2 linked regions of the Tamandua tetradactyla genome follow. The protein of the gene in region 2 binds, or shares a complex with, the protein of the main gene of each other region. Links are inferred from orthologs where the notes say so. Each region holds a gene or a part of one and is shown on either strand. Other genes may lie near its edges. The genes, in order: DPF3 and ACTL6B.

The links.
Region 1: ACTL6B (region 2) and DPF3 share a complex: the UniProt entries of both Homo sapiens proteins name them as parts of the BAF complex. The link is inferred for Tamandua tetradactyla from reciprocal best matches to the Homo sapiens genes ACTL6B and DPF3.

The regions. Positions count from the first base shown.
Region 1 is NC_135338.1:31,486,766-31,502,854, forward strand, and holds the start of DPF3 (zinc finger protein DPF3), read right to left. Parts: upstream 5,927-16,089; 5' UTR 5,896-5,926; coding exon 5,864-5,895; intron 1-5,863. UniProt on the Homo sapiens protein: Belongs to the neuron-specific chromatin remodeling complex (nBAF complex).
Region 2 is NC_135349.1:8,737,374-8,754,039, forward strand, and holds the start of ACTL6B (actin-like protein 6B), read right to left. Parts: upstream 8,864-16,666; coding exon 8,839-8,863; intron 8,404-8,838; coding exon 8,327-8,403; intron 8,146-8,326; coding exon 7,980-8,145; intron 7,673-7,979; coding exon 7,572-7,672; intron 3,738-7,571; coding exon 3,640-3,737; intron 2,984-3,639; coding exon 2,889-2,983; intron 2,820-2,888; coding exon 2,713-2,819; intron 2,016-2,712; coding exon 1,926-2,015; intron 1,791-1,925; coding exon 1,729-1,790; intron 1,608-1,728; coding exon 1,493-1,607; intron 1,377-1,492; coding exon 1,296-1,376; intron 1,202-1,295; coding exon 1,106-1,201; intron 903-1,105; coding exon 816-902; intron 1-815. UniProt on the Homo sapiens protein: Involved in transcriptional activation and repression of select genes by chromatin remodeling (alteration of DNA-nucleosome topology).

The sequences.
Region 1 (16,089 bases), on a different chromosome or scaffold from region 2:
AATGGGAAAGACCTTTGCTGTAGAGCTTCCAATCGCAGTTAATACGAACAGCAGATTTTCAAGGTGAATAAAAACAAAAAACCCCACTCATTTCACAGCAACCTGAGATGACCACAGTCCCTAGGTTCAGGGAGGGAGGAGAAGGTGCAAAAAGGGGATTAGACATGTGTCATCATTGTTCCCCGGGCTCAGAACCCAGAAAGCTGGGTGGCGGAGGGCTCAATGAGAGCTATTTGAACCCCATTATTAGGGGCTCTGAGCCTAATCCCCTGGCCCCTCCCTACTTCCAAACATAGCCCCTAAAGCCTGCCCCCCTCAAGGCTTCTCTCTCTTCTTTGGCCACCTACCCCCAACTACTCCTCACAAACAGACGATCTAGAAATTCTCAACCAAGTCTGTTCCTATTTTCCCACACTCCCTCCAACACCTCTTAACCACTGCTTTTAAAACTCTAATGCAAATCACAGGCTTCAAAACCCTTCCTTCAGTGACAGTTTTACGATGCTAGCTCCATTCATCCATATGGTTTGACAGACTGTGAAACACTAGTAACCGGACCAATAAGAAAAACAAATTACAAAAACACCACCACACCTCATCTCTCCCGTCACTCACACCACCAAAGAAAACTTTGAAACTTGCAATGGATCATAATATCAATATCTCCCGTTTTTAAACAATAATCTTTTCCAAATTCCAGGCCACACAATGGTTTTATCCATCTACCTCCTACCACCCCCTCCCCACACCCACCCCCAGGCCACTCTTTATCTTTCCTAGTTAAATATCTACATATTTAAAGACTATTTAAAGCTAGAGTCATGCTTATTTAGGTCCCTGCTAGAAAACCACAGCTGGGCAAAAAATATTTCAGTGGTTGTGGGATTTTTTTTTTCTTGGCCAGAAGCTTACCACGTTTGGCTACATTTCTGTTTTCTAGTGACTTTCAAAATACTCAAAAACCACAAAAGTTACTTTGCAAGGGTTGAGATAATAAACAGGCCTGGGTCCTGGTACCTTTTTATGACCCAACCCCATCACCACTACAATCAGCATGGCAGCCTTTAAAAACCAAAACAGCCTCAGTTTCCACTCTTTTTCTAGGGCATGCTCAAAACAAAGGATGCTGACCATGGCTTTTTTTTTTTTTTTTTTTTTTTTTTGCGTGGATCTAAGCAGATGTCTATAACTTTAGACATTATAGTCTTTCTCACATGTATGCAAATTCCAGCTACCTGTGTGATTCCAAAATGATGAGAAAATGAGAAATTTCCAATTAAGTTGCCTCTGAATTCCAGCCCACCTCATGGGCCTGAGCAGCTCCCATTTGGCTGGAAAGCTCTGGATGTCTCCCAGGTGGTCTGCAGGCTGGGCTTTTTTTGAAGGTTTGCCCCATGACAATGCCTCAACTTGGGGTCTGGCAGGAATTAATATCCTTTATGGGTATCTCATCAAAACCAGACATTCTTCCCACTGAAAAATAATGTGTACTAATGAAGTTTGGAGAATTTAGGGCTTTTTTCCAGTGGCAACCAGAAACAGATGGAGAAGGTGGTTCTGAAGCATCTGTTGGCTTAAAATGTCTAAGGGTCCTTTTTCATAAGGAGCCAAAAGTAATGTCCATAAAAGGTTGCAAGTTCACAAAGTTCCAATCTCAATATTCCCCCCACTTAGTACCTCCCACATGCCTCTGCCTCCACCCCAACAGAAAGAGCTAAGTAGAGATTAGAACTCGGAATGTGCCCCCTACCCCTTCCTCTCTGATATCTAAACTAAGTGCTACAGCAAGAGTGACGTTTGGCTTCTAAGTGGTGACAAGCAACTTTCAATGCACAGAACCACTTTACATGAGAACAGAGAAAGTGTAAAGAGGTGAAGATTTGAGGTCCATCTCTACACAAGGACCAACCCTGTTTGACTTTGGCTAAGTAAGTATCAGAGTTGTGTGCTAAATAACAGAACACATACCTCCAAGCGAGGGGACACACTTAGGAAAGTTTCAATACAATTATGTATATGTATGTTCATGGTTATAAACAGGACAAAATAGTTTACTGGCCTCATTCTTTATAGTTACTTGAGGTAAAGCCCTGCTGTTTTATAGAATTATGAAATAATAATGAGTTATTCTTTTCTATGCAGACAGTTATACTAATGGGTACATATGTGCATAATCAAGTCTGGCAGAAGGTGGCAGACATTCCCAGTTAAGTACATATAAACCAGGCTTTTGATAACTTAATAAAAGAGTAAGTTGTTTAAAGTGCTAATAGCAGATTGGGGGGGGGGGTGATTTACCTGAACTAGATAGGAATTAAGATTAGAATTTAGATTAAAAGCATGAAGGTTCCTAGGTGCGCAGACCCCAGCCAGAATACAATCCACACAGCCCTTTATCAAATCCCTGCTTATGATGCCTACATATATTCACTTTACTACCTGGCCTTCATCTTGCCTGCATACGTAAGAAATGAGGGTGATTCTCACACATCTAGGCTCAGACAATGTAGCTGCTAAATTAAATAATGTGTAACATACATTTACACATCATACATGCCCATATAAATGCTTTTAAATTCTATTTGTCCAGATGTGGCTGCTTGGTTGTGGAGCCACCTGCCGCAGCCAACCCCTTTGTGATCTGATCAGTCCAACCGGCTCCTGTTTCTGCCTCTAACACCCTGTTGGGCAGTAATAAGAGTTAAAGCAACAACAGAGAGAGAAGCCAGGCTGTCAGCTTCTGAGAGGAAGGGGGTGAGGAGGGTACACCAAGGGGCAATAAGAAAGGAAGTAGAGGGGAGATCAAAGACCAGCAGGAAGAAAAGCCAGGCTGCTAAGGAAGATGTGGTGTCAGGAACTGGGACCCTAAGGAAGACCCCAAAGCAATGAGACTGAAATTGTGCCATCCAGTTACCCAGGCTATTGAATTATTGAATGTCCCACATGGATAAAGCTAATGTAGTGAAAAATGGCCCATGCTTAGGGTAAGCAGAGCCCTACAGAGGGGTTGCACGAGACCTGAGCCTGCTTCTTCGCAGCACAGTTACCTCCTACCTCGCTATTCCCCAGTACCCGAAACCTTTGTGTGACCAGTTTCTATAGGGGGCATCGATGGTGGTGGCTTTTTTTCTTTTAAGAAAAGGGAGAAAAGACTCAGAATGCACACAGAGAAAATGCTAATGTCGTTCAGCTCCGTTTCATTGTCAGGAGGGACACAGGAGGATAAAAACAGAGCTCTCCAAACCGTTCTCCCGGCTTCCCCCTCCTCCCAGCACCGCCATCCGTCCCCTTCCCTGGATGTGTCTCCGCGCTTTGTTCTAATTTATCCCATGCATAATTTATTCATGTGTGTATTGTTTCCTGATCGGCAACTTTTAAAAGACAAATGAAATATATAAAATGTGTTATTAAACAAGTCGTTTTAAAAAATAAAGGCAGATGGTGTCGGTCTCCCCATAACACCGTGCGTGCTCCAGCGTGAGTAGTTTAAAAATAGTCGAGGGCGCGGGGGTATTGTTTACACCCCCTCACCCCCAGGGAAAGGGGTTGGGATGCAAAAAGGGGCGGTTAACTATAAATGACCACTCAACTTTCACCTGGAAAAAGCAGGCAAGGTGTTGTGTGTAAGTCAGTGGGGGGGGGGGGGGGGAAGCAGAATTACAAGTACATGACACTGCAACTGTTTCTAATTATATAAAGTGCAAGCATAATTCAGAACAAATTCCACTAAGCAGTCGGGATTTAGCCTCCTTTTCCCGCCTCTCTGTCTCTTCCCCTACCCTTAACTCCACCCCTACACAGACACCCTACCCAAACCAAACATGCATCCTCCTATGGTTAAAAAAAAAAATACTGGAGCGAGCAAGGGAACCCTGGAGCCGGAAGACGTTGCACCAGCGCATAAACTGGCTCCTGGAAAACGAGGGTACAGCTTTCCCTATAGAAAACAAACCCGGCGCACATGCGAAATAGATTTCTCTAACTTGAGTTTATCAGATGGCATCAGCCCAGATACGCGATTTCGGCTGAAAATGGGGAAACTGCAAATCGGCTCTGGATTCGATAGAAACTCACAGCATCGGCTGTGCAGCAGCGCGAGCGACTGCAAACGAGGATGCGGAGAAGTTACGCCCATTTATTCTGCCATAAAACATTTTCTTTCTTGGGTGAAACGCCGTGGCGTTCAAGTGTTGTGTATCCGAGCTTCCCACGGAGAGCTGAAAGCCGGGGACTCCTCTCGGATCAGCCTTAGCTTCCAATGCCCCTCCCCCGCCTCCCCAACCCGACCTTTAATTATATATATGTTTAAAACTCCGAAAACTGGGACATTCCTATCCTTTTCCCTTATTGCTGGTGAGAAGTTAACCAGTGCAAATACGGCCGATTCTCCCAGCGCGTTCCTTCGCGTTCGAGAGCTGTCTACTGCCTCCGGGTGCGAACCTGGTTTTAAACTCCCGGAGGAGCCCGGGAGGCGGACGCGGACGCGCGCGGGTGAAAGAACCAGGATCTGTTTAGGCAACGCACAAGGGACACGAAACTCCCCTCCGCCCGGACATCCCCTCCCCTAGCCCGAGGCTTCCATCCCAGCAGGGAAGTCCTGGTGGAATGGGCACCGATCCCGAGCCCACGTCGCGCCGCGAATCCGGAGGGAGCCTCCCCCCCCCCCCTCTGCCAACAGCACAGCCAACATCATCCCCCTTAGAGCGATGCTAGTTTTCTGAGCCCACCCCCGGCTCCGCGATAGCAAGCGGACTTGGCGGCTTAACAGTTCCACCGACTGAAAGGAAGGAAGGAAGCCAGGATGAAAAGAAGGAGGAAGGCAGGCAGGCAGGAATTGGCTGTCGAACCCGGGGACTGGCCCCCGCATGTCCTTGCTCAGCCCGCCCCCCCACCCCCACCCCGCCGCCCCCCGCTTCGTCCCGGATCTGGGCGTCCGCTCAAAGTCTCCCGGCGGCGGCCAGAGGCACCTGCCCCTTGCTCTGGCCGGGAGCAGACACTGCCGCTCAGGCCGGGGGCCCCAAGCCGCCTCTCCGCACGCCTCGGCATTTCACCCAGGGGAAGCAAGAACACCATTCATAAGACCTGCAGCTTCGCTGCCTCCAAATCAACCCCAAGTTAACCCGAGTCATTAATTTACTACGGCCAGTTCGCCCGCAAACACACACGCATACATGCACACCGGCTACCGCCCGGAGCGCCGTCATGCTCCGAGGGCTGCCCCGGCAGGAAAGCCCGGGGCAGCCACCTGGGCCCGAGGGCTCCCGGGACCCGCTGCTCCCCCCCCGCGGTCCTTCCAACTCCGGAAGGTTTGCCCAAACTCCCCGCGAGCGATCGGAAGGCGAAGAGCGCCCTGCAAACTCCTGAGCCACCGCGATCCGCTTGCCGCGCGGACCAAGCCACCCGGCGGAGACTGCGGGCTCTGAGGCGCGGGACTCAGCCGAATATACCCAGGCGGCCCCTGCCCGGCACTAGCCCCCAGCTCGACCGCTCCCCGAGCGGCGCTCGCCACCCGGCGAGCCCAGGGGCTCCGGAGACCGCGCTGTCCCCAAGCTGCCCGCAATCCCCCTAGCTGTGGAGCGCTCGGGCGCCAGGCTACCCTGCCGATAACCCTTCTCTCTCTCCGTCCACCAATTAAGCAGAACCCAAATGTAACAATTTTCTTCTTGTTAATTGCATCTCCTGACATTTCTGTGCGTTGGGGGAAAAGAAAAAGATGAAGTAGGAGCTGAAAGAAAAGAGAGAAGCCCCGCGGTGACTGGAGGCGCCTGCAAGCGCAGTGCTTTGGCAGCGCTCAGCACGGAGAAGGCGCCTTTTTTTCATATTGAAACCACGCGGAATATGTACATTTTTTAGCCTTACTTACGCTTTCAGGGGGTTGTGAATGACAGTCGCCATTTTGCTACAATGTAACAGAATATTGTCTGTCTCAGAGTTCTAAAGGTTCGCTCAGGGGAAGCGGCGAGCCAATCAGAACACGGGATACCGGCCCGCCGGCCAATCGGCGCGGCTGGTCGCCAGGTGGGCAGGGCCTGCGCGATGGTAGTTATTAGGGGAGCTGTCAAAGCCCAGAGGTCACTCCCTTTTGTAGAGCCCAAGAGCGAGCAGGTCTTAAAGGGGCAGTACCGCGCGAGCAGCTCCTTTTCGGTTTGGGGAAATTGGAGACGCACGGGACGAGTATTCTAGTTTGGTCTGAGACCCTACTTTTCTAAATAGCTGCAAAATTTGCGATCTTGAACAGAAATATTTAAGTATCGCCAGCAAACCACTGAACCCCATTCATTATCTTTCGGCTTTGCTAATAGTGTTTTTACTCTCCCAAAGAGCAAGTCCTCTTGTTCCCGTGCAAAAGTTGAAAGCTTGCTGTTTCGTCAAACAATGTACTAAACGTAGCCGTTTGCTAATGCTCTGGGTCCTACGACTTTTTAATATTCTTACTCCCGAAGTGTTTTCTTTATCTCGGCCACCTTCCTCTCCCCTGTAACTGCCGCCGCACTGCCGCCGCTGTTCCTGACGACTGCAGGACAGCAACTCCCCTCCCCCTGAATGTCTCAATGTCAAGTTCGCTCTCTACAGCAGCCCGGGCTTTCGTTACGTAATGCAGGGTGGTCACACTGAGCGATTCCCCAATACCACCCCTTCTGTTCACCCCACACTCCCGAAACTTCGGAAATGATCGCGGATCCCGCCAACTGGAGAGCTAAGCTCTCTGACCTTTAGGCTTAGGGATAAGGGAGGTTTAGGGAAACCAGTGGAAGCGCCTTCTGTTACTAGGAAAGCGAATAACTTGAAGACAGGAGTTATGGAGCCTAGAATGGGTGTTGCTAGAGTCCCTTTCGGGGAGTGGCACACGCGATTCTGGCGTCATCTTTCACTATTTAGGTAGAAGCTGAAAAGAATTTGCTAATGAATAATCCGGTGTGACCCGAGGCGTTCCGAGAGACCTTCTGCTTCAAGTTAGTGTGAATTCCCTCACTGGCGAACCCCTGACAAAACTGGGAGACTTCTGCGAAATCAGGCTTCCACTGGGCAGCCGGGAAGCTCCGGGTGGATGAAATCGTACTGTCGAGAATAGGGCAGGCAGGGCCCTCGTTAGCATAGAGAAGTCTGGCTGTTTAATCAGGTCAAATAGCTAAGATAGTGGGGGAGGGGTGAGAAGGGGAGAATGGAGATGCCAGATTGCCCTCTCAAAGCTTTGCCCTCTCACTTCCTTTCTCAGCGCTCCTCTCAAGGCAATGAATTTTTTTTAAAAGAAAAAAAAAGTTCCAAAACTTCAGAGTTCAACTCCCTACACCACTAGAGTTACAGATAAACAGAACATGGCTGAATCAGTATGTTTGTAATAGACTTGAAATTTTTAACTCCTCTCTTTCTGATTAGTTAATAGCAGAGCCAGGTTCTATGGATTGCCTTTGTGACTTTTTTGACAGCACCTTGCCAGAGATGGCAGTTTGAAAAACGTTGTCCCCTTTTCAATAATTGAAGTTTGAAAACACCCTTCCTCATTAATTCAAACATATTAAGGGCTTAGTTCCAAAGCTTATCTTTGCCTGAGATGGACCCTGATATCACTGAGAAGCAACTATTATGTTCAGATGAAGAAGTTCAGGCTTCTCAGATGAGGTTGAAGTATTAGTCATAATTCCCACGAGTTCGAATTGAAGGACAACATATTTTAATATATGCAGCTTTATAAAAGAAGTAAGAAATATAGTATTGCACCTGCCCTGAACAATGCTTACAATTTAATGGGAGAAGAGAAGAAAAACAAAGTATTACATCTAAAAGAAAAAATATATACTCAAAGCATATACATATAGTTTACTGTGTTAAGGCCTTGGCATAATTCCTAATATCTGGCACATATGAAAGTGGCAGCCCATGATTTTTCAAACTTTTTCTTTGCCTTCATTTTGAGAGAGTTTTCATCTGGAATTGAAACATCTAAGTTACATTTTATAATGTGAAAATCGAAAAAATAATGAAATAAAACTATGTTTTTTTAAGTAGGTTAATCTTGGGTTTTTTTTGTAACCCAGTAGAAAGCATTTTAATTCAGACACTGCAGGTACAACTTCTAAATAAACAGAATTGTGAATTTGCCTTTTGTCAGTTCTCAGCTATATAAGTTATTATTATTTTCAACTTTATCTTCTTTATCATAGATCACAATGTTTCTACAGTAAAGCAGGTCCCATTCTGCCAATTTGCAATGGTATGGCATGAAGCCAAATGCTCCAAATATGTCTTAAATATACCAACCCACCAAAAAGACACATGTTTTTCACCAGAATGCTTAAAAGCAAGAGGGCTTAGAATGGACATGCCTAAAGGTGATAGGAGCCTAGTAGAATTTCAGAGAATGTTTAGTTTTGTGAGGCAGTGTTGTATATGTTAACGGAGTGTGGGCTCTGAAATCTGTTTTCCTGAGTCCTTCACTTTCCAGCTGCATTATCTTGGGCCAGTTTACTTAGCTACTCTATGGTGTCAGTGTCCTCATCCGAAAAGTGGCAATAATAATAATAGAATTTTCATACGGCTCTTGCCAGGATTGAATAATATATGTCAAGTGTCTGGCACATAGCAAGATCTCGAAAAATGGTGACCATTATTTTTACAGATACTTAATTCTTTCCTGATGGTATAAGGTACATAGTTAAACTTTATTTAACTTATTGCTCTGAGAAAAATGGCAACTGAATAACTTTGAGGAAAAAATAATAAACAGGAATTTTTCGATCAGGGGTCATTTCACTACTTAAACCATGTCCTCTTGCTCAGTAGACTTTCAAGACACTTTTAAAATCACATTTCTAAAGCTCTATAGATATTCATATACTTGAATATACTCCACCCAGCCCCATTTCTTCCATCTTTATATAGCTGCCTAGGCAGCCTAATTTGCTAGGCAGAGTGGGTCCAAAATAACCTCTTCCCCATCCCACCTGAGAGTCTAGAGCTGCACTGTCCAATATGGTAGCCAGAGACTACCTGTGGCTATTGAGCACTTGAAATGTGGCAAGTACAAATTGAGATGTCATAAGTATAAAATACACACTGGATTTCATAAGGCTTTGTATGATAAAAAGGAATGTCACATATCTCATAAATCATTTTTTATACTGATTACATGTGGAAATGATATTTTGGATATATTAGGTAAATAAATACATTATTGAAGCTAATATTCCCTATTTCTTTTTACTTCTTTTAATGTGACTACTAGAAAATTTAAAATTGCACGTGTGGCTCCCATTGTATTTCTATGGACAGTGCTGCTCAAGGCTGTGTGTTACCAGGGAAGTAAGCGTGGGGCCTATCTCAGTCATATGCATTCATTCTGCATAATCTTTTCAAATCTAACCTTATCAATTAGCAGACTCTCTGGTCCAGCTCAGGTACATGTTCAATGCCACCCATCCAAAGGAACATTTGGGGTACAACAAGGACCCATGCACCCAAACCACAAGGGGCACCCATACCTGTTCACTCCTAAAAAGTCTGAAGTTTGTCTCAGCAATGAGGAGATGTCCGTCTAGAAGTAGGGAAGAATGGCACTTTTGTAGCAGGTGCCAAACTTTCCAGCTGACTTTTTAAAGGCACATCCATATACGAGAGGGAAGTAAAGAAAGGAGATGCAAACTTCAAGAACAGCCAGAGTTCATTTAAAAGAGGAAGCATACCACAGAAGCCGTCCAAAATAAATGCAGTCCCTGGTGGGCTCTGGGGCTTGAAGGAGTCTCGGGTCTTGCGGGCATTAGAACAAGAGCAATCCCTCCATTTATCTGCAGACTAACCAGCCATGCCCAGGGCAGCTGGTTGACCTGGGCTGGTTCCCTGAGATCCAGAACCAGCTTTGGTACATTCTAGGCACTGAGCTGAAGAGGAATTCTTTTGAAGAATAGAGGGCATAAAAACTGCAGCCTATAAAAAAGCTAACCATACCACATGACCTGCAATACCTCTCCTAAGTATACTCAAAATAATTGAAAGCAGGGAATCACATGGATACGTGTAAACCAATATTCATGACAGCATTATTTACAATAGCAGAAAGGTGGAAACAACCCAAGTGTTCACCATCCGATGCATGGATAAACTGCAGCAGAATATATATATGAATATTATTCAGCCATAAAAAGGAAAGAAGCGCTGATACATGCTATAATATGGATGAACCTTGAACACATTATGCCAAGTGAAAAAAGCCAGACACAAAAGGATAACTTATATGGCTTCATTTATACAGAATAGCAAATTCATAGATACAGAAAGTGGATCAGAGGTTATCAGGGGCTTGGGTGAGAGGGGAATGGGGAATTATTGCCTAATAGGTAAAGAGTTCCTATTTGGAGTGATGAAAAATTTTGGTAATGGATGATGGTGATGGTAGCACAATGTAAATACAATTAATGCCATTGAATTATACACTTAAAATGGTTAAAATGGCAATTTATATATCATATATGCATATATAACCACAATAACTTTCTTTAAGTTAAAAAAAGAAAAACATAACCTGGCTTTCTCTTTTCTTAGGGAAAATGGTAGGGAAGGATTCTTACTCCCTTTACAATTTCTCAAAGCGTAGAAAAGAAAAAGCATATCAAGCTCTGGATTTGGGTGATGCTCCTAGGGCCAGGCCTCGAAAATCACATATTTCTGAGTAGAGTCATAAAAAGGAATCAATGCTTGCTGCTTCCCACTAACTTAGCTCATTCAGTCACTCATCCATTGAGGAATTTCTATGAGGGAGACATTGTGCTAGGCACAGGTGGCAAAATAAAAACAAACCAGACATGAAAACAACCCTCAAAAAGATCTCATCCTGCATCTGGAGGGAGAATAACGATGGCAGGCCCGCCCCATGAGCCAGCAGAGCAATTACTTAATGTGACTTAAAAGGGAAGAGCAGCCTGCTCAGCCAGTCCCCTTTTCCTGGCAGGGATCATGGGATCCCAATGGATGCGTCCTTGGGTGTTTATTAAATGACTACTATGGACACCATCAAAGGTTCATTCCTTTGGGTTCCCAAGGTTTCAAGACATTGAGATTTTCATAAACTAGTATAAAGGATATATTAGGGAATATACTAGGGTATACGAGTCAAAGGTCCTCAGTAAGGCTTTATGGAGAAGGTCATGTTTAATTTGGGCCAAAGTTGGGTAGATTTTAAAAATGAGTCAAGGGCTTAAGGGCCTTTAGACCTCCCACCCATCTCCGCCAACAGCTAATTCATATAGAAAATATTTGGAGAATCTCTACTCTGTGCCACCATGCCACCCTCACTCCTGGACCTTGGGGGTACAGAGAGACCTAAGATAGACCAACCTATAAAGGTTATAAAAGCTCTTATTCAAAAAGTCAGGGAGGAGGGAGCAGGCAGTTGCATCCCAAAGCCATGGGTGGAGGAGCACAGGGCACTGTGGTGTGGACCAGGGGCACCTAAACTGACCAGGTTATCTTTTCAGAAGAAGCGACTTCTGAGCTCAATCCTGAATGGTTCATAGGAGGAAAAGATGTCCCTGCAGAGGTGGTAGAATATATAAAGATTTTGGGGGTGTGAGAAAGGGCAGCACAACTTCAGGGGATCTCCTTGGTAGAGGGGGACTGGTGAGACAGAAAAAGCTGGAGAGGCAAGGACGGGGTGAGAATACTTTAAAATGTGGTGTTTTATCTGGAAGGCAATAAGGCAACAGTGACAGATTTTAAGCTAGCAGTGAAAATGAAGAGATGATCCTTTTTAGAAAGCTCATTTTGGCAGTGATGTGACAGTGGAGTGGAGGGAGGCTAGAGGACCCCACTAGGAGGTTGTGGGTGTCAAGGCTGAGCACCAGAGGTGAAGATCAAAGGCAGATGCAGTGAATTCTAAAGAGGAAGCACCACCAGGACTTGCTGTGGATTTAAGGGAGACCAAAGGGCCCTGGATGATGCCAGGTCTCTGGCCCCTGGTTGTGGATATGAGTCAGTTTTACTTGACTGGAGAAACTTGAAGTTAAAACCAAGACCAGTGCCTGATGGTCAGAGGCCTGTAAAGCGCTGGGCCTTTCTGTTGTGCAGGATGGGCTTGTTTTAAGACCTTAATCCCCCAGCCCACATCTTCCTTCCCCCTAAAGCTGATATAAATCTGTTCCCCTGGGGGATCAGTCACCTAGGCTGGGTCCATCACCTCTGGCTGTGGACTCCACCTTCTCTATGGACTCCACCTTCAAGGGAAAGCCTCTTCCAAATCCCCTCCTACCTACTAATCCCCACCCTTTTTCTACTCCTGACTGACCTGAATCAGCTTAAAGGAATTTCCCTCCAGGTAGTTGCATCTTAAGAGGAGATTCTAGGACACTCCAAAACCTTTGCAAGGAAGGGATCACAAGACACACAGCACACACAGTGCATACACACACACAGCCGCACACATACCGTGGCTTGCTTAGAATCTCAGGCACCAAGAAAGGCAGCGTGTGGGATATTTTTAAACAGGAGCTTTCTCCACTCAAATCACACAGAGTAATCACAGTCAACCCTGAAGACTGGCCCCAGGCCCTTTCTTCCCTTGCTAATACTGGATGACCACAAGCAGGCCCCAATTCTTTCTCCTGATAGAACCACAGGTTGAAGGGTTCTATCTGGTGGTGATGGGGTTTTTTGTTTGTTTGTTTTAAGATAACTTGGGCTCCACCCCGGCCCGACCTCCTCCACCTGCCAAGACTGCACTTTCCAAAGCCCTCCCTCAGTCCATCCACACCAACACAGAATCCAAAGTCCTCTTGCAACCTTGATCAAAGCAGCTGGCAAGGTCCCCTGCATAGGGGGACAGAAGGGAGAGCAGGGGAAACAAACAAAACCTTCTGCCATTGCCACCGTGGGGATTGACTGGAACCATGTTTGGACCAAGACATAGAAGAAGAAAATTCCCTTGAGTCTGTACACACATGTGCAGAAATAAGTATTCATCCCTCTGGGTGATTTCCTAGGTAAAGAAACTTCTTATCATCTCCAAAAGTGGCTACCCCAAGGGCTCCCAAAGAGGGCTTTCTGTGGAATATTGCTTTAAGCATGGTTGCATTCCAAGGCACCTGTTTCTCTCACTCACATCATTTACACGACCTCAGGCTCCTACTCTGGCATTAGGCAGGAATCCTCCAGGAGGAGTCTAAAAGCCAAGCATAGGAGCATGTATTCAGTCTGGTGGTTCTGCAGATATTTATGCCACCACATAAAAATAGGTGCCCACAGCAGGAGACGTGGACAGAAGCCATAGGACCTAAAATGTCCTACACTCTGGCGAAGAGGCGGCAGAGGCCTGCTGAGTTATAGCAGGTGTTTTCTGTTCCCTGACAGCTTCAGGCAATGACCTCTGGCCTGCATAGCTGCAAAAGGACCTCAACTCCATGTTTATTCTACATAAGAGGGAAAAAAGAAGGAGGTGAGAAAATGTTCTAAACTCCACAGAGGAACCAGTGTATTTTAAATGCGTCTAAGCCAATGGGGGAAGCTGGGCTAAGGACAGCTCCATTGCAAGATTGAATTCTGGAGGAGAGGTACAGGCCTGGAGAGTCTAGAAACCCAAAGAATATAACAGACAGAGGGATGGAGCAGAGGATGTCGGTGGGGTGGGACTGCTGGGAAAAGAGACAAAGTGGAAGCAATAGGTTGTGTTAAAGAGGAAAAACAAAAATCCAATGAAATGGGACTGTTAAAGCACTAGGCCGGAAATTAAGTTTATTTTGGTACCTGGAGCCCCAAAGTCACCAGTTGTTCTCTGTTCTCACCAATCAAAGGATGACACAACTTACTTTATTCCTATACAAGTGACAAAAATTAATGGAGTTGCCACATAGTAATAATTGGAACTCGTTACAATTCTGAAAATCAGCGCTATTTTCTAGATCCAGGTGGGCTTACTTACAGCAACTCTGAAAGCCATCCTTTTTTATGAAGCTGATTTTAAATATTTTAATCTTCCCCAATTAGAACCTTGAACTTAAACCTAGTACAATTTAAATGGATCTCAAGCTGGTCACTTGCAACTTTCAGCTTTCACAGTTGTATCCATAGCTCCATCAAAATACCTATATTTTGGTTAGCTCCATTTTATATTTCCTTAATCCATCAGATACCTAAGATATACCTTTATATCTCCAGAGTCTGGCAAGGCCTAGCAGACGGTTAATAATTGGTCACTGAAAGAATAAATAAAAGCAGAAATAACTAAATCTAGGGAGAAAATCCCACCCTACTAAAACAAATCTCTACTCATAATAAATGACAAAGGCCACTTTCTAGCCGGACATTTCTAAGGTTACCTTCCCCTTCAGAACTGCAATAGACATGTAGAAAGTTGTAGACCATTCAGAAAGGATTCAATTTTGAACTTTGTGATTCGATATTTGCAGTAGCCTCTTTCTCCACATCAAGTAACACAGCAAGAAATCCCTTGCCCTGAAGAGCTTGAAATACTGAAGCTAGAGCTACAACCAAACAAGTCAGCTCATTAACAGTGACTGTGAAGGTCTTTAGGCTTCTAGGAAGTCTTTCTATAAAGGCCAATTTAAATATTTTTATCTTGTATATTAGCCCCTCTGGGTAGGTCTCCTGCTACCAGGGCTGAACCTAGAATTTGTTTTACTTTGAACTTCGGATTCTTTTTAATTATGATATATAGGGGGTGGAGGTGTCACTTAATCAGCATTAAGTCCCATTTTCATTGTTATAGTGCTTTGGCTAATTTTTTTTATCATGAATTATGAAATTTGAATAAACTTTCATGTGGTAAAACAGGAACATGATGAAGGACGCGATTAAAAGTTTTGATGACAATACTATAGAGTATGAAAGTCTAAGTAAGTAGGGCTGTACAGAAGAAATAAAAATTAGACCAACTTAGAACTAAATCCTGGCTCCACTCCTTACAAGGTACATAACTTCGGTCAGGTGACTTAACCCTGAACCTCAGTTTCTTCATCTGTAAAATGGAGAGCTTGAGACCAGGTTTTAAGGATTGTCATGAGGATTACATGTGATAGCATCAGTGGCACAAAGGAGAGTGACTAAGTCATTGTAAGCACTTAAGAAATTCTTCCCCTTTCTCAGATAAGAGGATAAAAGATTGAGTACTGGTTGATGCTTAAAAGGTACAAAGAAGGAAAAGAACAGAAAGACCAGGAAAGATGGAGTTAGGGGAAGCCAGAGGTTTAGCAAAATGTGGTCCACCCAAATCTGCTAAAGCCGGATAATCCTGGCCAACGTGGGAGGCAATATTTGTCTTCATTCAAGAAAAAAAGTGCATTAGACAAAACTAGAAAGCAAAATGAGAGGTGGAGTGGTGGGTAAACTCTTTGAGGTTTAGAAAGGAGCCTGTCCTTTGGGATAGGATGGAATTAGGTGTGTATGTGACAGATGACAAGATGCAATTAAATGTAATATCTGAGATATGCAGTCACTAGCAAAAGTTATTCACTGTTAACAGGATATTTCAAAAGCCTGGATTTTCACTATGGAATGAGTTCAAATCCCATATCAAGTATAGTCAAATGGATATAATTTTGGTAAATGACAAAAAACCGGAGTAAAATGTGACCTTAGGCAAGTTACTTACATCATTAAGTTTCAATTTCTTAGTCTGAAAAGTAGAAATATAGTATATCTACCTCCTGGAATAGTTGGCATTAAAGGAAAAAGTATATGCAGAATGCTCAACAAAATGTCTAATATTTATTAAGTACATAATAAATGTAGCTAATGATATTTAACATTGGTGGATAAAGATAAATTCATACGCTCAGCCTCACAGAAGTGGGAGGCCAGGATATTGTTTCAGAGTCGTAGTTCTTTAACTTCTATCGTAATAGCCATTTCATCTCTTTCCCTTCATGCTTTAGCTACCTATGTATTATAACTCTGGCTCGCAATAAATACTCAAAGTCTGATGAATGACTTAAAAAAAAAAAAAAGCCTGGATTTTAAGAGAAAAAGCTTTAATGGAAACCAATGTCTCGTCCATATTTGACTGCCTCCTTTTTTGATGCCCCATTAGGAGGAGAACTGAGTCATGCAACCGGTTCTTGATTGAAAAGCATAAAACCAGTCTTGAAA
Region 2 (16,666 bases):
GCCACTTGCTCTTACTCATCCCGTCTCAGCTGAAATGCCAGCTCTCCTCTGAGGCCCTTCGTGACCCCTGAAATAGATCAGATCCCTTCCTTCAAAGAGAAAACCCCACACTTTGGGCAACTTCCTGTTTCATTGTCTCACCCTCTAAACCGTCCCTGCTGGTGAAGGCAGGGACCGTGCTGGCCATCTGTCCCATTCAAGCACACGGGGGGGCCCACAGTCACTGCGTGGCTGGCATGCTCTCAGCCCTGGCTTGACTTCGGACTGCCAGTCTCCTGGCTTTCCGGCCGCTCTGTGTGACTGTCACCAGCCAGATCTGGTTGGCATCTCCAGCTCCCCGCTGGGCAACTTGCCTCTATCCCCGCAGTACCCGCTGCCCCAGAAGCAACCTCGCTGCCTCCCTTTTCTATTTGCCCCATTGCCACCCACTCCATGACTCCGGGACTAGAGAAAGAGCCTCGTCCCAAGGTCCCTTCGCCTCTCGCTCACACCGAACCCCGAGTCTCATGCCTGCCCTGCCAAAGTGGTCGTCACCTCGCTCCCTTGGCCTATCCCCCAGGTGTCTCCCTCTGCTGACCCAGTATGGTGGGCAACTTTCCCAGAACCTGAAGTCATCACATTCATCCCAGCAACCTCTCCAGCTCCCTACTCTCCTGCCCCCTGATTGGTGTTGGGGAGCACCAACTGCCCTTTCTCTAAACTCAGTGTTTGTTGAATGAATGAGTGAAGAGGCGGCGGGCTGGTGGAGCCTGACCAGGTCCTGTCCATCCCCCCACCCCCCACCCCCAGCCCCGGGCCCCGCCCTTCCCCCTCACCAGCGAGGCCAGGATGGACCCCCCGATCCAGGGGCTGAACTTGCGCTCCATGGTGCTGTTGCTGGCAATGAGCTTCAGCCGCATGCTCTGCGGGGAGAGAGGGGCTGGGGGAAGCGGACCCCTGGGTTCTGGGAAGGGCCAGGGCTGGGGAGGGGAAGACTGGGAAGCCACCGGAGCCAGGGGTAGGGGAGGGTCTGTTCTGGCGGCCAGAGCCCCTGATGTGGGGGAAGAGGGGAAAGGGCTCTGTCCTCCGGGACCCAGGCAGGATGGGGGTCCAGGGGGGCTCGTACCGGTGGGGTCTTCTGGGAAAGCTCCCGGTTGAGCCTGTCAGTGAAGCCCTGAAGCAGTGTGTTCCCGCCGGTGACAATGACGCTGCCGTACAGCCCCTGGGGGCGGGGAGGAGGCAGGAGCGCTCGGGGAGCAGCCCCTCTCCCCCAGCCCCCCACCCCGCCCCAGCACCCCAGCAGCCTCAGGCCTCACCGGGCGAATGTCGATGTCGCACATGCCAATGCTGGTGGTCACCACGTGGCCCACTCCTAACATGGTGTTCCCTGACAGGCCCTGCTGAGAAAGGCCACCTGGGCAGGGGGCCCTCTGACCCCTCTTCCCAGCATCCCCTGCAGCCCTTCACCCAACTCCCCTCTTCCCCAAGATCCAGGGACTCCAGCCAGCCAGACCTTGACATTGGACGGGTCAAAGAGGCCCTCGGGGATGCGGAGCCGCTCAGCGCCATAGTCTGTGTTGTAGCCATTGGGCATCTCGTAATGCACCGTGGGCATCTGTGCTGCCACCCTGCCCGGAAGCAGCGAGACTGCCTGGGGTGCTCAAGGAAGACTGGGGCGGGGGCCGCACCAGAGCCCTCCCTTCACCTGGCTCTGCCCTCTCCCATACCCTGGCCCCGGGCCCCACTTACTGTTCATCATAGGGAGAGTCAGAGACCTGCAGCACAGAGGCCTGGAAATCCTGGATCACCTCCTGAGAACCCGGGGAGGAGGTGAGGGCCTGGCTTCCCTCCCGAGCCCCTCAACCCCCACCCCGCATTTATGGCAGGGGACTAGGAGCTGGGGAGGGGTAGGGGGACTGGGGAGATGGCCCTCTCCAGAGCCTCACATTACACATGTAGTTATGCCAGGACTTGGAAACCTGGGGTAGCTTCTCCTTCTTCTTCCAGTTCGGGGGGGCACCCTCCCGTACAGGCTCCTGCGGGGGCACAGCCGATGAGCCCTCGCCCCAGCCCGCACTTGCCAATAGCCCGCTCAGACCACATGCCTCTTTCCTAGCCCTCGGCTGGCTCTGCAGCCAAGTGGCACTGGGGTCTAGGCTCTGTTGGACAGAAAAGCTCTCTCCCCCTTTCCTTGCAGAGAGAAGAGAGAATGTGGAGATCTCGTCCCTTGTGTGCCACAGGTGCCAGGGACACCGCTGCTCTGAAAGGCCCCAATTAGGGAAGGCTGAGGGCCCAGGCAGTGCAGAGGGAGCCCAGAAGCTGAAGGAGCTACCACATGCTGAGCAGGGTCCCCTGTGGGGGTCCAGGGCAGACCCTTTGGGTGCAGTATCCCATTGACACTCACAACAGCACTGTCTGCTGTCATTTCCACTTTACAGGAGAGAGGACACTGTGGCCCCGGGACCCTGAATGTCAAGCTTTAGGTCACGCAGCTCTTAAACGGCAGAGGTGACCCCTGAGGCCCTGGACTCCCTCCCACAGGCCCTGACACATCACACTACCAGCTGGCTGCCTGACTTTGCCAAGTCCCCCAGCCTCTCCGAATCTCTGGTTTCCTGACTGCGAGACCAGGGGGCCCTGCTGCCGTGTGCGCCACCACCTGATGGGCCAGTGGACGGTCACAGGTCACCCAGCACCTTGGGGTTGCAGCCCTGGGATCCCCCGAGGCCACACCTTGGCTGCGATCATGTAAGGCGGGATGATGTCAATAGCCATTTCCTGGAAGAGCTCCCGGCACTGCATGGAGATGAAGTCCCCGGCCAGGGGAGACTTGACTATGCCTGGAAGGGGAGCCGGTGTCAGGGACTGACCCTACCAAGCCCCGCCCCTGCCCCCTGCTGAGACGCCACCTTGCTGCAGCACGTAGCCATCATGCACTGGGATGGCTGTGGTGTGGGTGGCCCCACTGTCCAGCACGAGGCCCGTAGAGCGTCCATTTGCGAAGCTGGCATTGGTCACATAGGTCAAAGAGACAGCGGCAGCTAGTGACGGGGCTGGGACGCAGGGCTGGCCTGCTCCCCCCCTGCTTCCCTGGAGTCCAGGCTCCAAGCCCAGACTTCAGATCTCACATTGATGACCCATCTCCTGAGACCCCAGTCACTTCCTCCCTGTCTGAGTGACAGCCTCTCCTCTCTTCCTGTCCCCTAAGCAACTAGCTTCTCTTTATTTTGAGGCCTAAGTCCTACGAGCTCCCAGTCACTCCCGTGCTGAGTACATGGTTCACTGCAAAGCGCATCATTAAAAATTCAATGTTGGCCAATGGACAGTTTGGGAAGGGACCTCTTTAGTTTCATACACCTCTCCCTCCCTCCCTCTCGCCAGCCTCAGACCGTGCTTCTTGCTTGGCCCAACGCTCTCTCTTCCTAGAACCATCTCCTGGCTCAAACTGGTCCGACAAATGAGAAAGGGGCTCTGATCTGGTCACCCCAAGATCCAAGGCACTTAGCCCAGGAGCTTTCTGCACTGCTGAGGTTAGGGGAGGGGCCTGCCCACCCAGGTCACTGACCTTCACAAGATGAGACCCAGCCCCAGCTCAGAGGACCATGTGCCCTTGCCCTGGCCCTCCTCCACCCAGGCAGAGCAGCTCAACCCAGAGGATACGCGGTGAGCACAGCCGTCTTGCATAAGAAGAAGGCAGGAATGTTATACTGTTCGAACATCAGCTCTGTCAGCTTCTCCCGCTTGGCCCGTGTGTTCCACTGGGGAGAAAGTGCAGGAGGGAAGGATTCAGAGAGGTACAGACCCAGCACACACACACACACACACACATACACACACACAATTTGACCCCACACAGGTCTTTAGAATGTGAGTTAAAGGTCTCAGTCCAAACCTGACTAAGGAAAACAAGGCTCAGAGAAGGGAGGTAATTTTCCCAAGATTGCACAGAAAGCTCTCAGCAGAAATGAATCTTGAGTCATGGGCTCTTGGCTCCTGTCCCAGTTGTTTTTTATTATACAATACATACTTTAGGTTCCTTTCACTCCTCAGTCCTGTTCCCCATTCTAATTACCTCAGAGGCAAGAAGGAAGGGAAGAGGATTTCTGGGTAAAATATGGTGGATTGAATAAAAGCATCTATTTTTTTTTTCCTCCCAAGATCCCAGCAAAATTATAGTAAAGGACCAATTTTAAAAGACAATCCCACAAATGGCCAAGCACCTGAAAAGGTGATCCACATCATTAGCCATCGGGGAAATGCAAATCAAAACCACAACAAGATGCCACTTCAAACCCTTAAGAATGGCAATTAAACAAATGAACAAACAAGTGTTGGTGAGGATGTGGAGAAATGGGAGCTGGTGTAAGTTGCTGGTGAGAATGTAACATGGGTTAGCCACTGTAGAAAACAGTCTGGTGGCTTCTTGAAAAGTAAACATAGATTTATCATAAGACCTGCAACTTCTCTCTTAGATATATACCCCCAAAACTGAAAACAGATACTTGTTCACAAATGTTCACAGCAACATTATTCACAAGAACTAAACGGTAGCAACGACCCAAATGTCCATCAGTGGATTAATGGATAAGCAAAAGGTGGCATATCCATATAACAGGATATTATGCAGCCATAAAAGAGAATGAAGTACTAATACATACTACAATGTGAAAGAACTTTGAAAATATTCTGCTAAATGAAAGAAGCTAGACACAAAATGCCACATATTGTGTGTTTCCAATGCTATGAAATATCTGGAATAGGTAAATCCAACAGAGACAAAATACAGATTGGTAGTTACCAGAAGCTTGGTGGGGTGGGGGGGGAGGGGCAGTGACTTTTTAATGAGTATGGGGTTTTCTGTCGAAGGTGATGAAAATGTTTCACAGCTGATAGAGGTAATGGCTCTAAAACATTGTGAATGTATTAAATGCCACTTTAACTAGTCACTTTACAATGGCTCATTTGATATTAGACATAAAAAAGACGTAAACTCTCAAGGTTGGGAATAACAAGAAAGCAGAAAATAGCAACACACTTTAGAAAGTAGGAGAGCAGACATGTGAGTGGTAATGGACTTGGACTCAAGAAAGCTGACTCCTAAGCTGGTAGGGAGAAAAGCCAGGTACTGTTCTGTTTTAAACTGAAGAATCCTCAAAGGGCACATAAATTGGTAGTTTCAGATTTGTCTGGAAGTGTAAGTGAGGGGAAAGCTAATATAAGATTGTCTGAAGTTATTCAAGTAATAGGTCCCTAAACTCTCTACAAGTTCATATCCCTGGGTTTTTGCCCTACCTGGATCCCAGCAGAAACCTGAGATTTATTCTATGGAGAGAATAAAGCAAAGGGTCTCTGAGCTGTGGGAACACTTGACACAGTTGGAAGTAGGGGCACTATACTTTAAAGAAGAAGATTAAGTGACGCCATGCACACTGAATGCTGAGAACCCAGCCCTTTTCCCTCACTTGGCTCCTAGAAAGTGGGTGGCCAGGGCTCTCTTCAGTCTGGAAGTCTTCTTCATTACAAAGACGTAAAGATGCTGATATCAGAAGCTGCCCAAAAAATGTCCCTGTCAGTTCGCCTTGTAGCAAAAATCACAGTCAACACTCCCTACCTCCCAGCTACACAGCTTCTAATCAGCCATTCTGTCTCCCACTCCTAAATACAAGCAAATAACAAGGATTTCCAGAAATCTGAATATGCCTCTAAAGTGAGACAGACACCAAAAAAGGGAGATGGGTACAGAAACAAAGGAAGAAACAGAGATTATACAGTGAGACAAAAACGGCTTCCCCACCCCACCAAAAATACAAACCAACTAGCAATAATATCTGTAGGAAGATAACAGATGATGGTGCACCTATGAAAAACAAGAATCAAAAGCAACATTCAGGGAATAAAAAAGAGTCCTTGGAAACTAAAACTACAAGAGCAGAAATGAAAAACTCAGAGGAAAAATTGAAATCGAGGGGGGATTCCCTAGAAATTAGAGCAAAAAGATAGAAATGGAAAAGAGAAAGAAAAGATAAGAAAACTAGAGAACCAATTCGGGTGGTGTAGAATCCAAATAACAGAACTTCCCAAAAGAGAGAATGAAGGAAATTGAGAGAAATCATTAAATAAATAATTGAAAATATTCTCACTGCACTGAAAGACATGGGTTTCAAGATTGAAGGACATACTGAGTGCCTAGAGCAATGGACGAAAATAGACCAATATCAAGACACACCATTGTGAAATTACAGAACACTGAGGACAAAGTAAAGATTCTACCAACTTTCAGAAATGAAAACAAGACATCAGAAATCAAATGGCTTCAGTCTTCTCATAACAACAATAAAAGCTAGGTGGCAATGAAGAAGTGCCTTCAAGATTCTGATGAAAAATAATTTCCAATCTGAAGTTTTATACCTAGCCAAGCTATCAATCCAAGGTCAGATATGCAAGATCTCAAAAAAAAATTTACTTCCCATGACCTTTCTATGGAAGTTACTGAAGTTCCTGGGGCCCTGGGTTGGGAGCTAGGCAGGTGTGGGAATCAGTGAAGTGGGGGGCCTCTGGGACTTGAGCAACTGAACATGAGGGGGTAAATCAAAAGGATTCATGAGATACAGAAACAGAAATGCTAACACAGGAGAGAAGCAAAAGGATTCCCTAAGATGATGGTGAAGGAAGATGCCAGGTATAGAGGGCAGGTAGTCCAGAGTGGAGAATATCAGTGGGCTCCTGGAGTGATTTCTTCAAGATGAAATTGGTAGAATACCTAATGGAATTAATGTTTTGAGAGAAGATGTAGGTAACTGGTAGATAATTGAAGGTCACATTACTGATAGGTAGATAGAAAACTAAGCAAATAAAAAAGCAAGCAAATGTCTGTTTTAGGGAGAACAAAAGGTTGTATAGGAAAGGAAATGTAATCATAGTTTGTTGCCTGGCTCAGCCTTGATCAGAATACACAGCAACAAGGGAGTAAACACTGAGGACTGATCTTTGAAGAAAACAAATTAAAATGCAACTATACTTAGGGGTGGGGAACAAGAAATGTGTGCAGTGTGAGGTGGAAATTGAGCTAAATGTTCATTTTATCTAGTGGGAAGTCCACAAGCAGCAATTTAAGCATGATATTTAGAGATCTGGAAGGAAACACTCCCCCCCCCAAAAAAAACACAAAAAATTGGCTGAAAGAGATGAGAAGCAGTTGTCTTTGGAAACGAGGAGTTGGAAGAAGGGGGTAGGAACTGCCCTTCTTTTCTTATACTCTATAAAGCAAATTGATTCTTTATGTGTATATAAAATGTCAAAAAACTTTAAGTTAAAAGGTCTAAAAAAAGGAATTTTGAGGGGAAGGGGTATAAAAGGGCATGTTTAACATGGATTGGGGGAAGGGCAGGTGGATAGAGCAGGAAGAGAGAGTGAGGGGTGGATTCTAAGCCAGGAAGGAAGGGAAGTGGTTGAAGAGCTCTGAAGTTGGAAGGAAAATCTGACAAGGGAGGATGTGGTATGACCAATGGTAGGGGCAAGAGGTGAGAGGTGCACGGTGGAAACGAAGTGCCTGGGCCCCAGGGCTGGACTAGGGGCTGGGCCGAGGCACTTACCGGGGCCTCGGACATGAGCACTGGGTGCAGGTTTGGTTCAGACTTGACATGTTTGCTGTAGGTGTGATCCAGGATGGCACGGAAGCACTCCCAGTCCTCAACTGGGCCCAGAAGACCAACGTGGAAATATGTGGTTGGGCAGGCAGGGGTCCCGGGACAGGAAAGAAGTAGAAAGGAAAGAGGCTAAGTTCAGAGAAAGGGGAATTGAGGCAGGTCTAGCAGAAAACCCCTCTCCCAAGAATCTGGTGGGCCCCTGGGTTGGGAAGCAGGCAGCTGTGGGAAGCAGCAAGGGGCTCCCCAGGGCTGGGCAGTTGTAAGGAGGACTCCGTGGGTGTGAGGTGCTATGTCCCAGGTTGTGGGGAGAGGTCTCCCGCCTGTATCAGGAGGTGGTGGCTGGGGGCCCCTTACTCATGCCGTTCTTGAGAGGTGACATGACCTCGGCTCCATCCCGGGGCACGTGCAGGGCGTTGGTGTCGATGTGGAAGATCTTTCCTTTCTTCTCTTTCTCCCCCTCCAGCTCCAGCCCGCCCCCCTCCTCCGCGGCCAGCAGCCCCACCGTGGTGGGGAAGTCAGCCTGAAGGGGGGAGGGTGGGCAGGGAGAGGGATCACCCTCCTGCCCGCGTGCAGCTCGCCCCGGGGTTGACTCCCACACTCCGGGTCAGCAGAGGCTGGGCTGTGAGCACCCCAAGTTACCGGAAAGTCTGGAAGGGGAGTCCGGAGCCCCGGGGATTTGGGGAAGGGGCTGGAAGGCTCACCTTGGGGCAGTCCTCCCCAGCGTACCCAGCGCGGACTGAGAAGGAGCCAATGTCAAAGACCAGCGCCCCCACCTCATCTGTGCGGGGAGACACATGTGTCAGGGGTCCTCCCTCAAACTCTCTCCCCCTGGACAGCTCCAAGGGGAGGGCAGGGCAGAGCCACAGTCTCTAGTCTCGCCGCCTGGGACAGGTGGGGGCTTGGCCTGGAGTCTGGGGTCCTGGCAGTGGGGGTCAAGCCGGACAGAGTCCGTCCTGCCGAGTGGCCTTGCTCAGCAAAGAAGGAGGGGGGCCGGGGTCCCGGCGGCGGTGGGTTGAATGGCCGGAGGGGTTGGACCCGGTGCACGCGGGGCTTCCCGGGGAGGACAGAAGGTAGGGGTGGCGCGGGACCCAAGCCCCGGGCTGTTGCCGGCTGGGGCGCCGAGTTGACAGGCCTCGGGGTGCCCGGAGCTTGGGTCGCACGGGTTCGGGGTCCCAGGGCTCCGGCTCCGGCCCGAAGCCTGCGGCTCGCTCACCTCCGCCGTAGACGCCCCCGCTCATAGTGCCCTCTCAGCGCTGCCGGCGGCCCGTGGGCGGCGGCGGGATCAGCACCGAGGCGGCCGGACAGCTCCCGGGATCCCGGGCGGGGCGGGGCGCGCGGCGGCCAATCGGGAGGCCGGATCCCCCGCCCCCAACGGCGCTGCCGATTGGCTGCGAGGCGAGACAATAACCCGGCCCGGGGGCCGCTGCTTTAAAGGGGCAGAAGCCCCAGAGTGGGCGGGGACGAGAGGGCGAGGAGATGACCGGGACGGAGAGAACGGCCGTGCGGGATGGGCAGACCGAGAGGAGGAGTAGAAGGAAATGGGCTCCCCTCCGTCCGGAGAGCAGGACTCCGACGCATGTCTGATGGGGTCCCTGCTCCCTTTCTATTTAAATGGGGTCCGGGAAGAGGGCGCCGTAGTCCCGCAGAGTCGTCCATCCTCAGGCTCTAGAACGTGGTTCAGCAAAGCCAGGGTCGAGAGCAATCACCCGGAGAGGGAGGAGAGGCGAGAGGCAAAGAGAGGACCCGGAGGGGGTGTGTCTCCATCTTCTCATCTTTCTTTCCACCCTGGTCATTTTGATGGCCCCTCTTTTCCTCCCGCGCCCCCTAGTGCCTGGACCTCAGATACACACGTGTGTACACACGCTCACACAGAGGCGCTCAGCTTCCTTTCCCTACCCGCCTCTCTTCAGCCCCTTTTATTGCTCAGGAGGCATTTATGAAGCAGGTTTTGTATCCGCTCCTGGCTGGACACCTCCACAGCGGTTTTGAAAGGGACGGTGAAGGAGCGGCTCTTGCAGCCTAGGTTAGCCAAGAGCCTCTTGTGTAAGCATGCATGTGTAGGCGTGCACCCGTATATACTTGTTTATGTGTGCTTGTGCACGCGCATGCATATCTCTCTTTTCATGTGTACATATGTGCATGTGTATGTAAGCATGTATCGGGGACACTCTTACCTGCTTGTTTGGAGGCTGGTGGCAGGGGTGGGGGTGGGGGGGGGGGTGTCTTTAAGACCAGAAATGGCAGAGGAAGAGGGTACTGTGTGAGTACAGCCACAGCGTCCCTGAAGGGTCTCTGCACACCAGATGCCTATCCTGGAAGAAGTTTCACCCTTCCCTAGCCAAAGGGCAGATGGTTGAGCTGTCTCATTGATTTCCCACTGACCACAGTGGCATCTGAGGCACCTGGGGTTGGTCCTGGGTCCAGGACTGGCTCCCCAGTCTGGCGGATCTGGGCGCAGTGGGAGGATGAGCTGTAGGGGAGAGAGTAGACCCCGAAGCTGGGGCATTGAGACTATCCCAAGTGACCATAGATCAGTCATTGGCCTCTCTATGAATTGAGACCTAGGTGAGTTGGATGAGTGCCTTAACCTCTCGGAGTCTGTATTTTTTCATCTTTCAAAGTGTCGAGGTGAGGATTAAAGGAACACTGCAGGGAAAAATTATTCCATTCACAATCTGGTTTTATGATATTTAATGATGTAATCGTCACTTCCTGGGTAAATTCACCTGGTCAATTCCCACTACTCCTTGGGGGCAGCCACCTCACTGTCAAAACCTGCCCCCGTTGGAGAAACCTTAGTGAGCAGATGCCTAGGGAGTCACTGGGAAGGTTATAGGGTTGAATATGGGTTGGCTCCCCATTACATGGGATCTTTTTTTTTTTTAAGGTTTTTTTTTCAGTATTACATATTTTAATTTTTTAAAAATTTATTTTGTATTATCAAACCAAAACAGCATACAAACATTCCATGTATGGTGTACAATCAATGGCTCACAATATCATCACATAGTTGCATATTCATCACCACAATCATTTTTTAGAACATTTGCATCACTCCAGAAAAAGAAATAAAAAGAAAAAAGAAAACACTCACACATACCATACCCTTTACCCCTTCCTCTCACCGACCACTAGTATCTCCATCTACTCAATAGATTTTAACCTTTGTTCCCCCTATTTTTTTCTATACCCCTTATCAGCCCCTTTCATTGTTCACTAGTATTTCAATTTACTCAATTTATTTTTGACATTTGTTCCCCCATTATTTATTTATTTTTAATCCATATTTTTTACTCATCTGTCAATATTGTAGATAAAAGGAGCATCGGACACAAGGTTTTCACAATCACACAGTCACATTGCAAAAGCCATATCACTATACATTCATCTTCAAGAAACATGGCTACTGGAACTCAGCTCTACAATTTCAGGCACTTCCCTCTAGCCTCTTTAATACACCTTAAACTAAGAAGGGGATATCTATAAAGGCATAAGAATAACCTCCAGGATAGCCTCTCGACTCTGTTTGAAATTTCTCAGCTACTGACACTTCATTTTGTCTCATTTCTCTCTTCCCTCTTTTGGTGGAGAAGGTTTTCTCCATCCCTTGATGCTGAGTCTCAGCTCATTCTGGGATTTCTGTCCCACGTTGCCAGGGAGGTCCACAACCCAGGGAGTCATGTCCCATGTAGAGAGAGGGAGGGTGGTAAGTTTGCTTGCCATGTTGGCTGAGAGAGAGAGAGGCCCCAGACATGGGATCTTGGGGTTTTGTTTGAATTGTTGAATGGATCAATTTCTTCCTGAAAGAGCCCAGCTCTCTTGTCAGCCATTGAGAGAGGGCCTTGTTTCATTAACAGCTCCGTCTTCCTCTCCAAGCTTCACTGTCCTTATCTATAGAATGGCTGGTGGTGAGGACTTAACCTGAGACCAGAATCAGGTGCCTGGCTAAGAACCGGGCCCCAGGACTACTCAGTAGTCATTGGTCCTTCAGAACATACTTGGGAAGTTTTTGAGGCTTTAATATTATTAAAAACAAGTCCAAATTCTGTAGTTTATCTGGTAATGAGGAGGGAAGTTTCCTCTCAAGCCTGGTGGAAAAGCTACAATCTGCTATCTACAGGACTGGACTTGGATTCCTTCCTAAGCAACTGTGTTCAACTTTCACTGGTCATGGGATCTGACATGAGTCCATTGTATTATGGGCATGGTTACAGTGAAGGGAGTTAATATATTTCATTTGTCCACTCACTGACTCAAGGGACTTTTTTTTAAATGCTTACTGTGTGCCAGGCACTATGCTAGGCATGGGATTACCAAGGTGTCTAAGGTATTTCTGCTGTCAAGGAATTTTTGAGCTGGAACTTAGATCTAAATGGAAGTAGGGTGCATTGAAGACTCAGAAGATGGAAGAGCTACCTGTCTTTGAGAGCCCAGGAAGGTTTCTAGAAGTTTGAACTGAATCATAAAACATTTTGGTACATGTGGGAATAGTTAGGAGTTCGATCTAGAAGGAGGATTAGACATGAGCTGTTGGCAGAGGCCAGTGCCACTGGGGGATGAGACTAGACAAGTCATCAGAGACCAGCTCTTTCATGCCTGTAAGTATTTAAAAAAAATTTTTTTTTTTGCTTTTTCTATTTTCTTCTTCTTTTCTGAAACTATTTTTATTTAGCAGACACAAAGCATCTACTTTATGCCAGGTACTGCTATAAATGCCTTACCAATATTAAGTCATTTAATTTATCCCCAGTTTGCAGATGGGGAAACAGAGGCATTATTCTAGTCTGCTAGCTGCCGGAATGCAATATACCAGAAATGGAATGGCTTTTAAAAAGGGGAATTTAATCAGTTGCTAGTTTACTGTTCTAAGGCTGAGAAAATGTCCCAGTTAAAGCAAGTCTATAGAAATGCCCAATCTAAGGCATCCAGGGAAAGATACCTTGGTTCAATAAGGCCAGTGAAGTTCAGGGTCTCTCTCTCTCTTAAGTGAGAAGGTTCATGGTGAACACAGTCAGGGTTTCTCTCTTGGCTGGAAGGGCACACGGTGAACAAGGCGTCATCTGCTAGCTTTCTCTCCAGGCTTCCTGTTTCATGAAGCTCCTCGGGAGGCGTTTTCCTTCTTCATCTCCAAAGGTTGCTGGCTGGTGGACTCTGCTTCATGGTGCTGCAGCATTCTCTGCTCTCTCCGAATCTCTTTCATTCTCCAAAGTGTTTCTTCTTTTATAGGTCTCCAGAAACTAATCAAGACCCACTCAGATGGGTGGAGACATGTCGTCACCTAATCCAGCTTAACAACCACTCTTGATTAAATCACATCTTCCAGGGAGATGATCTGATTACAGCTTCAAACATACTTTGAACAGTATTGAATAGAGATTATTCTGCCTTTACAAAATGGGATTTTGATTAAAACATGACTTTTCTAGGGGACATACATCCTTTCAAACCAGCACAGGCATGGAGGTTAAATGACTGGCCCAAGGTCACTCAATTGGTAAGTGACAGAGTTAAAATCTAAACCAAGGCATATGAAAAATGTTAATCCTGGGCAGGTGTTATGCTTTCATTCATTCAATAAATGTTCCCTAGGTGTCTGGTAGGCACTGGGAATAAAGCATAATACAACTTCCATTGAGTTTAATGTCTGTCCAGGAAGGTAGATGCCTAAATGATTAATTTCATAAACAGATCTGATGGTTCTCATATTTCAAGCTCCCATTCTGGGTGGACAAACCTGAACACCTGGTAAGAAGGTCCAAGGCGGTAGGAGCAGGCCTCTCAGACCCCATATCCTGTAAATGTTTTGGCATCTTCCGGGGGTCTGTTCATGGTTTGCTGAGCTCTCATCCAGAACTGTGTCAGATCAAAAGTGTGCCTTGGCTTCACTGAGAGCCGCTGGCCCAGTGCAGGTGGCAAATGCCCAAAAATAAACAGAGTCCAGTAAAGGCTGCAACAGGAATGGAGCCAGCATTGCAGCGGGGCACAGACAACAGCATGGTCCTGGAATGCTTCAAGGAGAGGCAATATTTAGATTGAGCCTGAGAAAATGACCTGAATTGTCCGAGCTGACAAGGCAGCGGGGGGTGGAAGACATTCTGAGTAGAGGGGACAAGACCTGGCCTGTGTGTCATGCAAAGAAGTTTGGCCCTCTTTGTGGAATTGATGGGGAACCACTGCTTGATTTTAAATAGGAGAGTTATATGTTCCAATTTGCATTTTAGAAAGATATCTCTGGCAGCTATTTGGAAGATCGATTAGGGACAGACTGTCCTGGAGGCCAGGAGATAGGCAAAAACTAAGAAAACAGCAATTGGCAAGCAGCAGAAGGGTTGGATTTAAACATCTGGATAACTTCTGAGCAGAAATTTGTGATGCCTTTAAACAGGAAGGGACTTGTACTCTCCGTCCTCCCCCTTCCCAGTGAATGCAATTCAGGTATGGCAGTGGGAGCTGCCTGGGTTACCTTGGATCCAGAGATGGGAGCTACTTGCTGAGGATGGCAGAGATGCCCCCACAGTGGAATGGCCACTTTGGGCTTGTGGCTTAGGCCATTGTACTTTGGGGGCCTCTTTGTTTCAGAAGCTTAGACCATATCTAATTAGTTGATCATCCTTTGTACATGGGAAATGAGGGAGTAGGAAGCTCCTGGGTGGGTGGTGGTACTCTTAATTGGGCCAAGAGATTCAGGAAGGAGTAGGGTGGGGCAGGGTGGGGCGGTGTGGAAGATAATTAGTTTTGACTATGTTGGGTGTGGAATGTCTGTGAATACTGGTATGTAGTAAATATTTTAACAACCAACTCTGGGGCAGTGGGCGAGAGGAAAGATCTAAGGGATTTGCCGATCTCCATTCTGAAAATACTCCCCCCAGGGCTGCTTTCAAGTTTCTTACTATCAACATGACCTTACTGAACAAGGAGTTGGGAAGAGCAGCGTACAGTGTATGAGCCGGCACAAGCTGACTCCAGCGCACCACTATTCACGAACATTCGGCTGGAGATATCCGCTCTGCATTGGACACACACCAAGACTGCACTCCGGCAGGGACATTTGGGCTAGAGATGGATGTCTGAGAGTTTTGAGCAATCAGGGGGTAAAGTCACACTAGTGGATGAAATCACCAATGAATTACACAGACAGTGAGAAGAGAAAGAGGATGAAGTTGAGGTCATGGGCAACACCAATGTTTACAGGGGGCCCTGAGGACGAGAACGTCAAGGAGAATGAACAAGAACAGTAAGAAGAAGCAAGTGTCCCATGACCCATCAGAGCCAGTTCATCTACTGGCTTACTTCTATGTACCCCGCATATCTCTCCTTCTCCTTCCCATTGGCATCCAAACAAGCTCTAGGAGCTCCCATTAAAAACAAATACCTTGACTTGGCATTCTTTTCCCATTGTGCCATTTTCCTACACCCCCTCTAAGCCAAGATGTCCAATGGCTTGGGCACTTTGGCTGTCTCCCTTGCCTCTTTTTCTCACTTACCCTCAGCCCACTGAGAGCAATGCCAGCCTCACCCTACCAGCCACTAAAAATGCTCTGGACAAAGGCACCCACCAGTGGTCTCTATGTCATTCAATCTCCCCCACACACTTTTCAGTCCAGTCTTGCTTCATCCCTCTGCAGCACCCAAGAGTTTACCATTGCCTTTTTGGAACATGTTTTTCTTCTGGTGTCCAGAACTTCACATTCTCTTGATTTTCTTCTTAGCTCTCTGGCTTCTCCTTTGGCAGCTCGTTCTCTGCTGCCTGACCTCTAAATGTGGGAGTTTCTCAGGGCTTGGTCGTAGGCCATCTTGTCTCTTTCCTGAACCTCTTTATGACTTCACCTGCTCTAATATGCCACTCACTCCCAAGGCGCTATTCCAACCCAGACTTCCCTGCGGAGTCCCAGACCTGCTTAAATCCGCCAAGTGAACACATCTTGCGTGTCTCACAGGCACCTCAAACCTAACATGTCCCAACCTAAAACTCTTGATCTTCCTGCCTAAATGTGCCCCCTCTCAAGGGCCCTATTCTCAGCAAATGGCACTTCCAGGCAACTAGCACTAATTGTTACTTCAAGGATTATCTACCATCTGTCTCCTTTCTGGATTGTAAGCTCCCTGAAGGCAGCAGATGGTGCATATGCTGTACACGGTTGGACCCTCTGGGCCTACCACACACCCCACCCTGATACCTAGCTGGCGCTCGATAACTATTTGCTGAATGAGTAAAAACAGGGAAGCATGTTGGCACAGAAGCCAACATGAGGGGAAGCAGTGTCAGATGCCCTAGAGATTAGCAACATTGATTTCTAGTCCTAGGCGGCTAGTTTTCTGAGCGACTTTAGGGAAGTCATTTTGCCCATTTGTAAACTGAAGAAATTGAAATACATTATCTCCGAGATCGCTTCCAAATCTCATAGCCTATTGACATCTATCACGGACTGCTAATTGTGTCATTGAATTGGTAGGTGCATGTAAACGGAATTTATGCCTAATAAGGAATGTGACTTTTTTATGTAAACAAATTGTGCTTTGAGAAATGATAGGTGAGATCCTTAACAGAGGCTAAACCAATAGCGTTGGTTTAGATAGTTTTACTTTCTATATTGCACCGGGACGCAAAGGTCATTTGTTGAACTTTCCAAAACATTTTCACGGGGATTTTGTAGCAGTCCAAGAGACTTGTGAGCGGGTAGCCATGCACACCGTCCTTTTACAGGAGCAGAACCTGAGGTCTATCCTTTCATTCTCATCCCAGCACAAGGACGGTCCACGGGGGAGTGGCAGCAAGTGGCTGCTGTTGCTATAATTGCACGGCAGAGTCACATCCCAACGCAGCAGCCCTCGGTCTCTGTTTTCATTACTATAAAATGGGGATAATGCTAATACTTAACCTCACCGGATTGTCCTTACTTAAGTAAGGAACTCAATAGAGGAGTTGTAATGTCAGGGTCGTGCGGCCCTGTAACGGGCTTTCCAAAACCCCCCTGCCCAGCGCTTGGGGAACTGCCCCGTCGGTTCGAGTCTCAGACGTCCCCCTGTGCTGCAGCTCAGGG